Linked DNA regions of Caenorhabditis elegans. The protein of the gene in region 3 purifies or fractionates together with the protein of the main gene of each other region. This does not show direct contact. Each region holds a gene or a part of one and is shown on either strand. Other genes may lie near its edges.

Region 1 (3,990 bases), on a different chromosome or scaffold from region 3:
ATGAAAACAATTTGATTAATTGCAACATCGGTATGGAAAGCATATTGGTCGGAAATGACACGTGGCGCAGATGCAAGATCGACACTTCCAACGGCTACGACGATTCCTTTGTATCTGAAATCAAAAATAAATATTCGTTGTGAATTATAAAATCGTTATTCAGTTTTCAGCATTCATATCATTATACAAAAAAATGTTTTTCTTGAGAATAACGAATAAAAATTAAAAATTAACACTCTTTGTATATTTTAACTCATCAACTTACTCTTTTCTATACTTTCCGACAGTATTTTGAGCAATCCAATCACATGCTTCTTCCATTGCAGCTTTTCCAGACATGTGATAAGGTAAGGAGATATGACGTGGCATCACTTTTTGAACGAGTTGACCTCCTTTTCCCTTTCCGCGCATCTTTTTGATTAGTTTGAGTCCATCTTCATAATTCATGAAAAATTGTTCTTTGAAACTTTTCTTTGATGTTTTAATGTTTGCTCCAAGAGTTCTCAATCGATATTCTTTCTTCTCCTTTTTATCCTTTGGTGCTTCACTTTCTGTTTCCTGGACTTCTGTAGTTCCATCCTCGTTCTCGATAAACTTTTTCTTTCCCATTTTTACAATTCTGTAAAGATTGGTAAACATTTGATATGAAATAATTAACGAAACAGGTAAACATTTTCGGCTCGAAAACCAGTGCATAAAAACAAATACAGTAGACACGAAAAATGCTTTTAGCTTCATATAAAGAATAGTCAAAATCTGAATGGAATATTAGGCCAGAGCTGAGGATTTTGTGAATATTCGGATTCAAACTTCATTGCCAATGTACTTTCCATTGCTAGAATCTTTGTCGCTGATTCTCCGTAATCTTTTTTCGCTTTCTCTCTTTTTGCTATGAATTCGGCGCTGGCGTTTCGGTGATCCGTTGATTGCTCTATACGCCCACGTATACTAACTAAAAATGCCCATTAAAATTTATCAAACCGTTAAATAAACCAATTTTCTTACTTTTATCAACGTTAACGTATTCCTCTTGACTTTTTGAACTTGATTGCCCTTCTTTCCGTTTTTCTGCCGCTCTTTGTTCTTTTACTGAAATAAACAAAGTTATTTAAAACAAATATTCGTCTAATTCCGATTAAACTTACACTTTTGACGATGTTCTTGTGTTTTTGCAAAAAATGCTTTCATCTCTTCACTCATTTCTTCAATATCTGATTCTTCATTCTCAATTTCACTATATATTTCACACCGAGAAAGTCTTTCGATCACTTCCGGCTCTTCAGAGTCACTAAAACATTGTTCAGTCGAAAGATTATCTCTCTGGACCATTTGCATTTGAACTGAAAATATACAACATTTTAAGAACAGAAGCTAACCAATTACCTTGACGTGATGCATCTGTATGTTGCTTTATCCATTGATTCGAAAAGTCATAGTGTCTCCAGAAATGATTGAATGCAGGATCTCTTGCCCAATCATTGTGTTTCAGAAAATTATTCATTTTAAATAATTAAAAGTATTAAATAAATAAGTTTTTTTCGAAAAGAAATTAACAATATTTATTTCCCGAGAGGATTACACAAAACGTGGCCGAAGTTTCACAAAAATTCGGCCGCGTTATTTCGGAGCGTCGTTGTGTGAGAAAAATGGCGGAGTTTTTTACGATTTAAAATTATAAGTTAAAACATTTTCTCTTCAATATTTATTTTGAAATTAATTTTTCAGATTACACATAAAATGTCAAATGTTGAGTCGCCGACAGTGAGATACGAGTTGCCGAGTGTTTCTGCAGAGGTAATTATATATTTGTTGTATTATTTATTAGAAATTGTTTCACTCGACTTTTATTTTTCCTTTATGCTGCAACTTTTTTCGAACGAGGGACGAGGCAAAAAGGTTTCTAGGCCATGACCGAGTCCCCGACAAATTTCAGCGGCCATTTATCTTGCTTTGTTTTCTGCGTGTTTTCTTTCGTTTTTCACCGATTTTTTCCGTTTTTTCTTATCAAAACTAATAAATAAATATTTTTTGCAGATGCTAAAACAATTTCCAAGTGAAAAAATTGTGAATTCAGTCGGCAAGTAGCGGTAAAAGTGGTCACTGTAATATGATGGATTACGGGAATAAAAAACCCAAACTTTTTCCCAAACATGATACATATGCTGTTTGGATGCTAAAAGTACCTGATTTTCATAACGAGACCGCTGAAAAAGTTTTGAGATTTTCATAATTCAACATTTTGTGCCAAAATCTCGACTTTTTCACAAAAAAAGTTGAATTTTGAAAATCTCAAAACTTTTTCAGCGGTCTCGTTATGATAATCAGGTACTTTTAGCATCTAAACAGCATATGTGTCATGTTTGGGAAAAAGTTTGGGTTTTTTATTCCCGTAATCCATCATATTACATTGACCACTTTTACCGCTACTTGCCGACTGAATTCACAATTTTTTCATCTGGAAATTATTTTAGCATTAACAAAAATATTTATTTATCAGTTTTAATAAGAAATCACGGGAAAAATCGGTGAAAAACACAAGAAAACAAAGCAAGTACAAAATGTCGTAAAATGCGGTGTATTGTGTGCAAACACCGATTTTTCGCATTTTTTCTCGGTCCTCGTTCGAAAAAAGTTGCATAATTATGCCCAAGAAAACAAATATAGATATTATTTTGAAAAATTCAATCAATATTTGAACACATAATCAAAAAACAAAAATCGTTCCCTAAATGAATTTCAAGACATTATCGATCTGATTCTAATTCTTCAAATTTCAAATTCAAATTTTTCTTCAAATTTACAGGCCAATTTGGAATCAAACCTCGGTCCAACCGGTAAACGACTCGATTATATAACATGGCATCAACATCACATGTATATGGCAAGAATGCTGAGTGAAATGAGTACAGTAAAACGACCCGATGGATGCTACATCGTAGATCAAGAACACTACCAAATTGTGTCTGGATACGCAGGAGGTACTGTAGAATTATAAAAATGTTTAAATAATATTAATTCATGTTATTGCAGAGCTTCTTCCGTCAAATTCCAATGTATGCAACTGTGGAATATCAGTTGCACTTCAAAAATTGGAAAATAAATCCCACAACGGAATGGATTGTATCATATACACCTCAAGTTTTCCCGATTGTAGTCACTGTTTGGAGAAGATTTTGAATTTGAAAATATCGAAAATTTGGCACTGGAACTCGCCGACAACAACAAAAGAATTAAAAATTCTCGAGATGCTTGAAGCCAGTTCGATTCAATGTGAAAAGTATACCCCAACTCGAACGATTTCTATCAACTTTAACAATTGACTTTCAAAAATGCAATGCTCAAATTTTTTTTATTAATTTTCAAACAAAAAACATTTTCAAGAATAACATGACATTATCAGTGTAATAAATAAAGGCATTTCTCTGTAAAAGTGTGTCAAGGCGATGTGAGTTGGTGGGTGGAAGTTTGTAGTAAAGAGAGTTACAAAAAATTGTTCATGTAAAGAATTTTCAGGTTCAGGTTCCAGCACACCGGTAATAACAAGAATTTTTGAAAGAGTATGAAATATCCAGTATTCTAAATGTTGTCTAACACTCCATGGTTGCCATTTTCTCACGCCTTCTCGCCAACGCAGCTTCCAAATCATTTTTCGCCGGGGCCATAGGTGAAGCTGATTGCAATTTTGTTGTGTCAGATCTCTTCGGAGGCGGTGGAGGTGCTTTCTTAGAAGTTAATGGAGTACAAGGCTTTGGTGGAGTCACTGGTGGCGGCATTCTCATCACAGAGGCAACTGGAGGTGGCGCTGGAAACTCTTCGTCCGAATCCGATTCTTCTTGGGCTGAAATAATATTTTATGGGGGAAATTCTAAATAAAAAACAACTTACGAATCGTTGGGGACGAGGTGGAAGCTCTTGATACTCGACGGAGCACATCTAGAGGTGCTCTTTTGATTGTTCCAGTCGGTTGCTCATCGTATTGAATCTCTAATT
Region 2 (5,794 bases), on a different chromosome or scaffold from region 3:
GTTGATGCAGTTGGATTTTCAGATGATTTTGATGAAGGTATATCCGAATTGTGGGAAAAAAATCCAGAAAAAAACTAGTGAAAAAGGAAACATCCACCTCTGTTAGAAATTTTGATTAAAATGCGTGTTTTTTTTTGAAAAAAGAGACAATTTTTGCCGAAATTTTTTTTTAGAAAGAGGTGGAGCAGAGGTGGCCAGCAAATGATTTTTTCCGGCAAATCGGGAAATTGCCGGAATTGAAGACTTTCGGCAAATCGGCAAATCGACAAATCGCCGGAACTGAATACATCCGGGAAATTGCCGGAATTGAAAACTTCCGGCAAATCGACAAATTGCCGGAATTGAAAACTTCCGGCAAATCGGCAAATTGCCGGAATTGAATACATCCGACAAACCGGCAAATTGTCGGTATTAAAAACTTCCGGCAAATCGGCGAATTGTCGCAATTGAATACATCCGGCAAATCGGCAAATGGGCAAAATGTCGGAATTAAAAACTTCCGGCAAATAGGAAAATTGCCGGAATTGAAGACTTTCGGCAAAGCGGCGAGTTGTCGAAATTAAAAACTTCCGGCAAATCGGCGAATTGTCGGAATTGAACACATCCGGCAAATCGGCGAATTGTCGGAATTGAATACATCCGGCAAATCGGCAAATCGGCAAATTGTCGGAATGGTAAACTTGCGGCAAATCGGGAAATTTCCGAATTGAAGACTTTCGGCAAAGCGACAAATCGGCAAATTGCCGGAATTGAAGACTTTCGGCAAAGCGGCAAATCGGCAAATTGTCGGAATGGTAAACTTCCGGAAAATAGGAAAATAGCCGGAATTGAAGACTTTTGGCAAAGCGGCAAATCGGCAAATTGTCGGAATGGTAAACTACCGGCAAATCGGCAAATCGGCAAATTTCCGGAATCGAATACACCCGGCAAACCGGCAATTTTCCGGAATAGAAAACATCCGGCAAATTGCCGGAATTGAATACATCCGGCAAACCGGCAACTTGCCGAATTCTACGACAAAAAATTTGCCGAAGGGCAATTACCGCCCAAAAACTAGGAAAATATTATTGAAAAATCGTTTCGAGACCCGAAAAATTCCAGTATTTTTTCAGCTGGAGCCCCTCTGCGGAATCAAGCCAGTTCCTCACGCGAGTTTCGTCGATGGATACATCAAAGCCTATTATCTGCCGGAAAATGGTCTAGAACAGTGGATAAAGACGCATTCTGTACGGGGTTTTTCCAATTTAATAAATTATTTTCCCGAAATTTTGCAGGAATACTCATCAAAGCAGCTGTCTTCTCTACTCGGTGCCGCAGCTCACGTGAGCAAAAAAGCCCGACTTCGGATATTGGACGCTTTGAAAGACTAGAATTTTATGTAGAAATAGTTTGATATAATTGTATATTTTGTCACTAATTTATTAATTTATTTTGCATTTTTTTTCTTTTCAGAAAATTGAAATTTCGACAAAAATTGGGTTCTTTTCGCGATTGAAAATTTGAGAAAAATGGAAAATTTGAATCTGCGCCTTTAAAACTACCGTACCCACTGCCACAGTTTTAAAGGCGCATCCTGTTCCAGAAATCGCGACGAGACCCAATTTTTGCATTAATTATTGATTTGAAATCTTTTCATGTCATCATCTCTGTCCTCATAATCAATAAATTTTTAATACAACAAAAAACCCGATTTTTTATCACGGTCTCGACACGACAAATTTTTGCTCATTTAAAAAAGTGTGCACCTTTAAAGGGTACTGTAGTTTCAAACTCCTAGGAATTTTTATTGATTTTTCAAAGTTTTCCGATTAAATTATATTTATTTGATGAATTTAAAACATTATTATGAAAAAATAAACAGAAAAATGAAAGTTTGAAACTACAGTATCCTTTAAAGGCGCACACATTTTTGCAATAAACAAATCCATCGTGTCGAGACCTGGTACCGTATTTTGGCGCCTTTAAAACTACCGTACCCACGACCTCGTAAAATTTTCAGTAGGCATATTTTCGTGGTGAGACCCAAAATTTTCAAATTTTATTTCTAGAGTTTAAAGGGATAAATCGCGACGAGACCCAATTTTTGCGCAAAATTTTTATTTGAAAAACGAGATTTTTTTCAATTTTGAATTATTTTTTCCAAAAAAAAATAAAAGCACGTGAAGATTAATCCACAAAATTTAACAAAAAAAAAAGGTACGTGGCACGCCACGTGGCGAAACGTAACATAGTCCAACTCAGAGAATCAGAGACGAAAAAAAATCGGAAAATTCAGTACGACGAATCTCCGGCAAGCCAAAATGACGTTGCGAAACCAGAAAGGGTGAGTTGGAGCATTTTTTGATTGTGAGCTCTCTGCTGACAAATCCGTGTTTCAGAGATTCTGTGACGCCTCAACGACGTGCAACAGCTGCTCCGGGAGCTCCATCTCAACAACTCAAAATGGCGGAGAAAACGACGGCACCGTTCGCTGTGATGTCTGTGGAACTTCCGCCGTTAGTTTTTTTTTCGGATTTTTTTAAGAGGAAATCCCAGAAAATTGTGAAGAAATTTCACTTTATGCTAGTAAAATCTGGAAATTTTCTTCAAAATCTGGCTGGAATACAGGTTTTGCCACGTGGCCGCGAAATGAGAAAGTTCGGCCACCGATTACTTTTTTCGCGGCCACGTTTTCGCTCTCAGATTTTTCACCATTTGTGAAAAGAAAACCCCGAAAAATTGGCTTTTTCATAGCGAAATAACTGGAAAATTTTAGAAAAAGCCAGGAATCCACGTGGAAATCTAAATTTTTGGAGTTTTTGTATAGGCTGCCACGTGGCCGTGAAATGCGGAACCTAGGCCATCCCTGCACAAATGGATGAAAAATCGGCTTTATCGAAAAATTAAAGAAATTACAGTTATAGAAAAAAGTGTAAATCTGGAAATTTTAAGAAAACTAGGCCACCGATAACTTTTTCGCGGCCACGTTATTTTTTTCCGGAAGGGCATTCAGGTATTGCTGCATGGCCGTGAAATGCGAAAACTAGGCCACGCAGCGAATTCTGAAAAAATGCACCTCAGATCCTGGAAAACAGAGTGATGGCCGTCATAAATTGGGTTTCTCGGCCATATTTTTGAAATTTTGCTCATAAAACTTCCAAATTCGGCGAAATGCGATTTTTTCAAGACATTTCGCAAATTTTCTGGAATTTTTAAAGCAAAATTCCGCTCAGACTACTTAAAACCACCAATTTTTTTTCAAAATTTCCAAAATTTGCAGAGGTCTTCCACGAGTCAACAACTCGGTATTCGATGACTTATCGCCACCAGCTCACATTCCATTCAGTGGATGGAAACAGTCAAGTGGAAGCAACAACAGTGGAAAGAAGAATCAGAGAAAGTCGACACCTCGGAAACAGGAAAATTCTTCTGCTTCTAGGCAAGGTGAGTAGTTTGTAGTCTTCTAGTAGATCAAAAGTAACCTTAAAATTGTTCAGGAACTATTCCGAATCCAAATCTAAAGTTCTTCCAACTGGTCAGCCCATTGCCATTTGCAACCAATTCAGTCCCAATTAGAGGAATCAAGACAGATCAGGGTGTTGTCAAGTATCCACTGCTCCTTTGCTCCCAGGAAGGAACTGTGATGGTATCCATGGCCGCCGGAATAATCGTCGAACTGTGTATGGATCGCAGTTTTCGTGTCGTCTGCAACACGGATTTCATGGCCTACATCAACTCGAATGGTGCCGTCTGCAGTTTTCTTCACAAATATGCAAAGATTGTGCATCAAAAGGAGCATGTTCACTGCAAATTCCTGAATACAAATGATCGAATGGCTGTGATGGGACCAGAAGGAATTCTATTCAGTATGGACTCACTCACAGAAGCCTATCTTTTGAGTGGAGCCAAAGAATCTGGACCTTCGGCGGTGGTTCTTGAGAAACCAGAGTTTCCGATCATGAATATGGATTATACCATTCAACAAATGTATGGAGAATCTGATCTTGGAGCAAGTGTAAGTTAAAATTAAAGCATTCTTTCAACTTGAATTAAATTCTTTTTTCTTTCAGAATATGGAAAAGTGCGAAGCTGTAATGCAGCAAGCTCAATACGAAAAGCACCCGGATGGACTCCTCACTGTGCATATCAACGGGATGCTTCTCAAGTACAACACTCAATCGGGAGAGGTGAATGTGGAGGCAAAACCAGTGAAGCTTACCGTCAATGCGACAACTCTCACGGCTCAGCTCAGAAGCGCTTTTATTGATATGGCTATTCAGGTAAGAAATTGATTTAATTAAGAAAAAAAATATATACGGTCAAAAAGTTTTCAAATTTTAATGAAAATCTAGTTTTTTGCTGTAATTTGCCTGAATCTGTTCGAAACCCAATTTTTTGTGCAGTTTTGGGTTCAAACTAGCACTGGGCTTAGAATTTTTGCTGAAAGTTGATGAAAAATTATTAATTTCGACAAAAATCGGATTTAAAATCGAAAAATTATGTGAAAAACGAGAAAATCGAAGAAAAACATTTGAAAACAATTAACAAAAATGTTTGGCGGGCTACGGTAGTTTTAAAGGCGCATGGCCGGGGATGAGCAACTTCCTTATGAGACCCGACTGCAAATATTCCGCTGTGCGCCTTTAAGATTACCGTAGCCAGCTTTTTTTTGCAATTTTTTTGACAGAAAATCAATAAAATCGAAAAAAAAAGTTAAAATAAACCGAAAAAAATAAATTTTCTTTCAGGACAAGGACAAATGCTACGTGAAGCGAGGCGAGAAACGAATTCACACATCCCGCTCGGGTATGGTGATCTCCGACGGCACCTGTACAATTTCCATGGACCAATTCGGCTGCATTCTTTCATGTTCATAAGTAACTCCCCGTCTGTTTTATTCCTAATATTTTTATTGTTTTATTATTTCCCAAGTTCCCCCCCCCCCCCCCCCCAGTATTATTAATTCCCTTAAGTTCTCCATTGAGACTCCAGCATACACCTAACTTTTATCCCATTATTCCTCGAATCATTGGGCCAAGAAAACCGCTACTGAGCCGGTAATTTATTTATTACATAAATCATAAAAAATAAAAATTTTAGTTTAATTTACGATGAACATACATCAAATGAGCAGTATTATATCACAAGAAGAATACAAATTAGAGATCTGATTAAATTTTGTGGCAAAAAAAATTAGAATTTTATGAAAACTGTTGGGAGAAATTTTAAAAAATTAAAAAATTATTATAGTGACGCATTTCCGGAATCACTTGATTCGTCGTCCTCCCGATGTGTAACTTTATAGACACATGTCGTCTCTCTTGGTGGATTATATGTTGAATCAATATTAAATGGTTGGAATGATGACCATGGTTCACATCCGTATTCTGTCCAACGTTCTGATGATGATTTTGTGGTGAAGAGGCCCGTGTCGCTACTGAAAATTGATTTTTTTCGATTTTTGAATCTAAATATGTGAATTTCCTTACCTCCTCCCGCCAAGTACAGTACTATTTGCCTGTGGCAATGGCATATCAAAGAACTCAGGCTTCTTTCGATCACTAATATACACACAGAGGAGTACGGTAGTCGATGTGAGAGCCAGCAAAGAGAAAAACGCAAGAATGAGCATTCCGATGAGCAATGAGGTGTTGTTCGAAGTTCCGAAAAATGGAGAAAACGTGGTGGATGGTGGTGCTGGGGTTACTGTAGTTGTAGTAGTTGTTTGTGAATCATCTACACACCATGGGCATACTGTATTGGATGCTTGAACTTTGACGGTTGACATGAAGCATTGACCTTGGATCTGGAAATT
Region 3 (4,320 bases):
TTGGTATGAGACGGGGTGCCGTTGTGCCGCCTATGAGCTCCAGGAAGACGAAAATTCCACAGACTGAGTATCCACGTAAGTATACGATTTTTCTATGCGCTATAAAATTCTTTAAAATCCGCTATTTTCCAGCTGATTACGCATCTAACGACCTGATGAACAGTTTCAATGGAGCTACAAATTCCGCGATCCCATCACTTCGCGAGCTTGCCACCTATGCGTCACGCTATGGTCCCGCATATCTTCGCGAACGATTCGGAAGCCATGATTCCCAACTTGAGCGTATGCTTTATGGCGGCAGTGGACCACAGATCCCATCACGTGGAGGAGGAATTCCCATAGATTACAACATGAACATTGCTTCGAATCACTGGAACCGAGGAATTGGCTCTCCGATGGGAATTATGTCGCGGGATGTTGATTCCTATCAACACGACGATGCGGCCAAAGCAAACAAAAAGACCACTACCGGCTCGCCGAGCACGACGAGCACACGGAAACCTCGGAAAGCTAGGAAGCCAACCAAGAAGACTGTTGCCGCAGCTCCTTCGTCTAGCTCGAACACATCGACTACGGCAAAGCCTGCAAAAACTGTAAAGACATCGGAGAAGTCTGCCTGAAAACAAGAATAGAATCAATTTTTAAAAATGTACAAAATCAAACGCCCTACAAATCATGTGTGTGAAGAAGAATAATAACTAACATATCTATTTATATTTACCGAATAAATATATATTCATCAATTAACCTGAAGAACAAACGAATTCGGCTACAGGCGTCGATCAGTCTCGAATCTAGTAACAACAAGAGAGCAATACGAAAACCGGTAAATCAATAGGGGGAAGCGAAACAGTAGGTACAAATTGGAGGGGAAGCACCAATACATTAGGTGGGGGGTACGACTTGAAAAATGAGCTGATTTTCGAATAGTTAAAGCGATGATCGTGTCCGAAAAACAGTTCATTTTTCAAGACAACATTGAGACTGGGAGTACGGGGAAGCTCATTTACGGTGAGAGGAATTGGTGAGATCTTTAGAATATGCTTAAGGAGTTGGGGTGGCTGGAGAAGTTCCTGTAGCCTCCGTGCCGGGATTCGATGGAGAAGTCGTTGCGGCTGGTCCCTTTTCCTTCACTGGTGCTGGATCCTTGGCTGGAAGACATATGCGTGGCTTGACAGTCGATGAGGTGCGAGCCGACGAGTCCTTGTGAACTTCGTATCTGGAAATATTTTACTTAGATAGCAAATACTAAAATTGTAAAATTACCTCAAAATCTCAGTATCCGGAATGCTCAATTTCTGCTTCAAAACCTGTCCGATGCGAAGATTGACATCATCGCGAGTAGCATCACGAGTCCACAAGGAAACCTTGTCACCCTTTTGACGAACATTCACGACAGCTCCGCAGATGTAGTCTCCGTACTCGTCGAATTGCTCTCCAACAATAGCCATCAACAGCTCCAACCAGTAGTGATCGAGCAATTGCGTTCTTCTCTGAAGCTTCTATGATTCATTGAATAAAATATATTTCTCAAAACGTACTTGCTTATCGACAACAACCAACCAACGTCCACCTTGAACGTTGTTGACGTCCTCCCACATTGGCTTGATTCCTTCCTTGAACAAGTAATAATCGGATCCCCAGTTCAATCCTCCGGCAGACTGAATGTGATTGTACAGCGACCAGAAGTCCTCGACAGTGTCGAAAAGTGAAACCATCTGGAAAAAATCGATAAAAGACGTATTTAAAAATCTTCTACCTTCAGACAATCCTCCCATTCCTTGTTACGGTCAGCTTTCAAGTACCAGAGAGCCCAGCGATTCTGGAGGGGGTGTCTGGTGAGAAGCTCTGGAGGAACTGAAGCATCGGACGCATTCACATCGCCGGAAGCTGACAATGCTTTGTTTTCCGCTACGGATGTGCTCATTTAGCTGAAAATAGGTAATATTATATACGATTAGAGCTCGGAAAACGATAAAATAGAGAAGAGTATGAATTTGGTTCAAATAACTCGGATTTTATAGGAAATTTTGTTTTACTGCACATTTTCGGCTAGTTTCCAAGCTTTTTAGATTTTTCAAGTGTAATTGGTAACATCGGGCACAATAAATTGATATTAAAGCTTGGAAAACAATAAAACAAAGTAGAAAATGAATTCAGCTCAACTTCGACGAAAAATCATCAAATGATTCGTTTCCCATGAAATTCCTAGTAGTTTTTAAACATTCTAGCTGTTTTTTAATCGTAAAAGTGAAAAAAAAAAGAGCGATTTCCCCGAAAAACCTTGGAAAATGAAGAAATGGAAAGAAAGGCGCGAATCCTGAAATTCAAACACCAGACACACGCAAAACGAGTGTAACCGTAGTTTTTGTCGTTGCGAAGTATCTTGTCTGCGGAATTGCGCCCCCCTTTAAACAAAACAGCGGAAAATATGAAAATTATTTTTGTATTAAAATAAAAATCGAGTTGTTTAGGTAAAATTTTTCAAATTTTATTGAAAATTCGGTAAAATAATGAAATTAATCGCTGAAAACTCGTTATTCGCACAGAAATTGAGCTCTTTCAGGGAATTCAGGCTAAAAAATTATATTTTCAGGTTTAAAATTCAAAAATTTATTTTCCAGATTGCAGTCGATAATCTGAGTTTTCCCAAAAAATGTGCATTGTTTACAGCCTGTGGTTCTCAATTTCTCCAATTTATCCACGAGTGCGTCTCCGTTTTCTTTTCTCCTTCTGCCGCATTCAGCGTCGCCGTCGTCGTCAGGAATTCATGAGCCGTCCCGGTGTCTCGAGCTCTTGTGAGCATACACACAGACACATACAGCAGCAGCCTCCACAACATGCACATATAAATATATCGGTCTGGGTGTTGCTGCTGCTGCCGCTGGGCGCCTTTTCCCTCTCTGTGTGCCTCAACTCGTCGCACATATCTCTCTCTCTCTCTCTCACTTTGCCTTGTTTTCCCTGCCCATCGTCCCGTAAAAAGGTGGCCAGACAGTTCTCCGAATCGCAGAGACGCAGCAAGCGTTGCCCCGAGGCGCCATTCGTCTAACCTACTGCGTCTGACACCCCGCCGTCAGACGACGTCGGGGGCCCTCCGACGACGACTTCTTTCGCTGTATTTCTCTCTCTCCTCCGTCTCCTCCTCCTCTCCACCACATCGATTTTCCCGTTTTAGAGTGTTGGCGGTGAGCCATAGTCACGAATACTTTGTCTATTTTTTCGGCGACGGCTGTTGGGCTTCTCTTCTCTGCGTCTCTCGCACTCTTGTCCGCCTTCTGACCGTCATAATTACCACGTCGTCCACGTAAAGTCTTCGGAGAGCGCCACGCCCCCACACACACATACACACAACATTTTCGTAGCCGCATTATTCTCCTAACAATCATCGTTTTTTGCTAGTTTTCAGTAGTTCCACAGACTTAAAGGAGGATCACCGAAATTCGAGACTTGGCTTTTTGGGACCCAAAATGTTCCAAAACTAATTTCGTAATGAGATGTTCTGAAAATTTCTCAAAAAAAAAAGTTATGACCGCTCGGAAAATGGTATATTTTCAGCTAAAATCTTAAATTTTGACAACTTCTCAGTGTCGCAGCGGTAGGAACTAAATTTTGATGTGATTATCACTTTTTAGTATGTATTTATTTATTTTCATTTCCACTCACACACGCGAAGCCCACAGCATTTGAAATTCTATAGTTTGTTTGCAGAATAGAGGTGTGCGGCACAAAAAGTTTACTGGAAAAAAGTAAACTTTTTTTGCGGCAAAAAAGAGTCGGAAGCTCAATTTTTTCAGACTCTTCTTATATATTTCGACAAAATAATTATGTTATCATTTCCTATTTAAGCGTCTTAAATTGTTCGCATAACAATGAGGAATTCCACGTTATATGGAAACGCTGTAAAAAGATCTCTGGTGAAATCGCGCTCCACGAGCTATTGAAAACGCTCCAAAAAACGAAAACTAGTTTTTTTTTTAATTTTTAAGTTCTTAATACTTTTTTCGACGTAAAATTCAATAAAAACAACGAAAATACCGTATTCCCTCTATTAGTCTTGCATGCAAGACTAATTTTCAATTGACCCGTAGGGGTGCAAGACTAATAGAGACTGCAAGACTATTAGAGGCTGCAAGACTAATTTTCGAAGATCCAATAGCTTTGTAAAATTGATAATTTATCGTCAAAAATTTGACTTGAAACTGTCTAAATCGTGCAAAATACATACTTTTCTATTGTTTTATCAATTATTTGAACACTTTAAAACTTAATTTGGCTAAAAAATGGCGAAATTTTTGAAGTTTTCACAAAATACTGCTG

The links.
Region 1: the proteins of ife-3 (region 3) and F10E9.5 purify together in Caenorhabditis elegans (affinity purification with mass spectrometry, with the first as the bait; one large-scale study listed by BioGRID). This does not show direct contact.
Region 2: the proteins of ife-3 (region 3) and C44B9.2 purify together in Caenorhabditis elegans (affinity purification with mass spectrometry, with the first as the bait; one large-scale study listed by BioGRID). This does not show direct contact.

The regions. Positions count from the first base shown.
Region 1 is NC_003281.10:8,305,169-8,309,158, reverse strand, and holds F10E9.5 (uncharacterized protein), read right to left. Parts: upstream 1,568-3,990; 5' UTR 1,502-1,567; coding exon 1,384-1,501; intron 1,341-1,383; coding exon 1,146-1,340; intron 1,090-1,145; coding exon 1,006-1,089; intron 953-1,005; coding exon 750-952; 3' UTR 711-749; downstream 1-710. Other genes in the region: F10E9.4 (uncharacterized protein), read right to left, coding at 1-114, 266-609; F10E9.7 (uncharacterized protein), read left to right, coding at 2,873-2,978, 3,031-3,320; mig-10 (Abnormal cell migration protein 10), read right to left, coding at 3,588-3,838, 3,886-3,990.
Region 2 is NC_003281.10:10,873,159-10,878,952, forward strand, and holds C44B9.2 (Lgl_C domain-containing protein), read left to right. Parts: upstream 1-2,273; 5' UTR 2,274-2,300; coding exon 2,301-2,323; intron 2,324-2,378; coding exon 2,379-2,495; intron 2,496-3,259; coding exon 3,260-3,423; intron 3,424-3,476; coding exon 3,477-3,994; intron 3,995-4,049; coding exon 4,050-4,259; intron 4,260-4,727; coding exon 4,728-4,856; 3' UTR 4,857-5,084; downstream 5,085-5,794. Other genes in the region: vps-50 (Vps54_N domain-containing protein), read left to right, coding at 1-37, 1,113-1,370; C44B9.3 (C2 domain-containing protein), read right to left, coding at 5,224-5,416, 5,469-5,785.
Region 3 is NC_003283.11:5,892-10,211, forward strand, and holds ife-3 (Eukaryotic translation initiation factor 4E-3), read right to left. Parts: upstream 1,939-4,320; 5' UTR 1,928-1,938; coding exon 1,760-1,927; intron 1,719-1,759; coding exon 1,542-1,718; intron 1,503-1,541; coding exon 1,267-1,502; intron 1,220-1,266; coding exon 1,045-1,219; 3' UTR 697-1,044; downstream 1-696. Other genes in the region: idpp-2 (Intrinsically Disordered Protein, expressed in Pharynx), read left to right, coding at 1-75, 133-620; B0348.10 (uncharacterized protein), read right to left, coding at 2,684-2,848. UniProt on the Caenorhabditis elegans protein: Recognizes and binds the 7-methylguanosine-containing mRNA cap during an early step in the initiation of protein synthesis and facilitates ribosome binding by inducing the unwinding of the mRNAs secondary structures.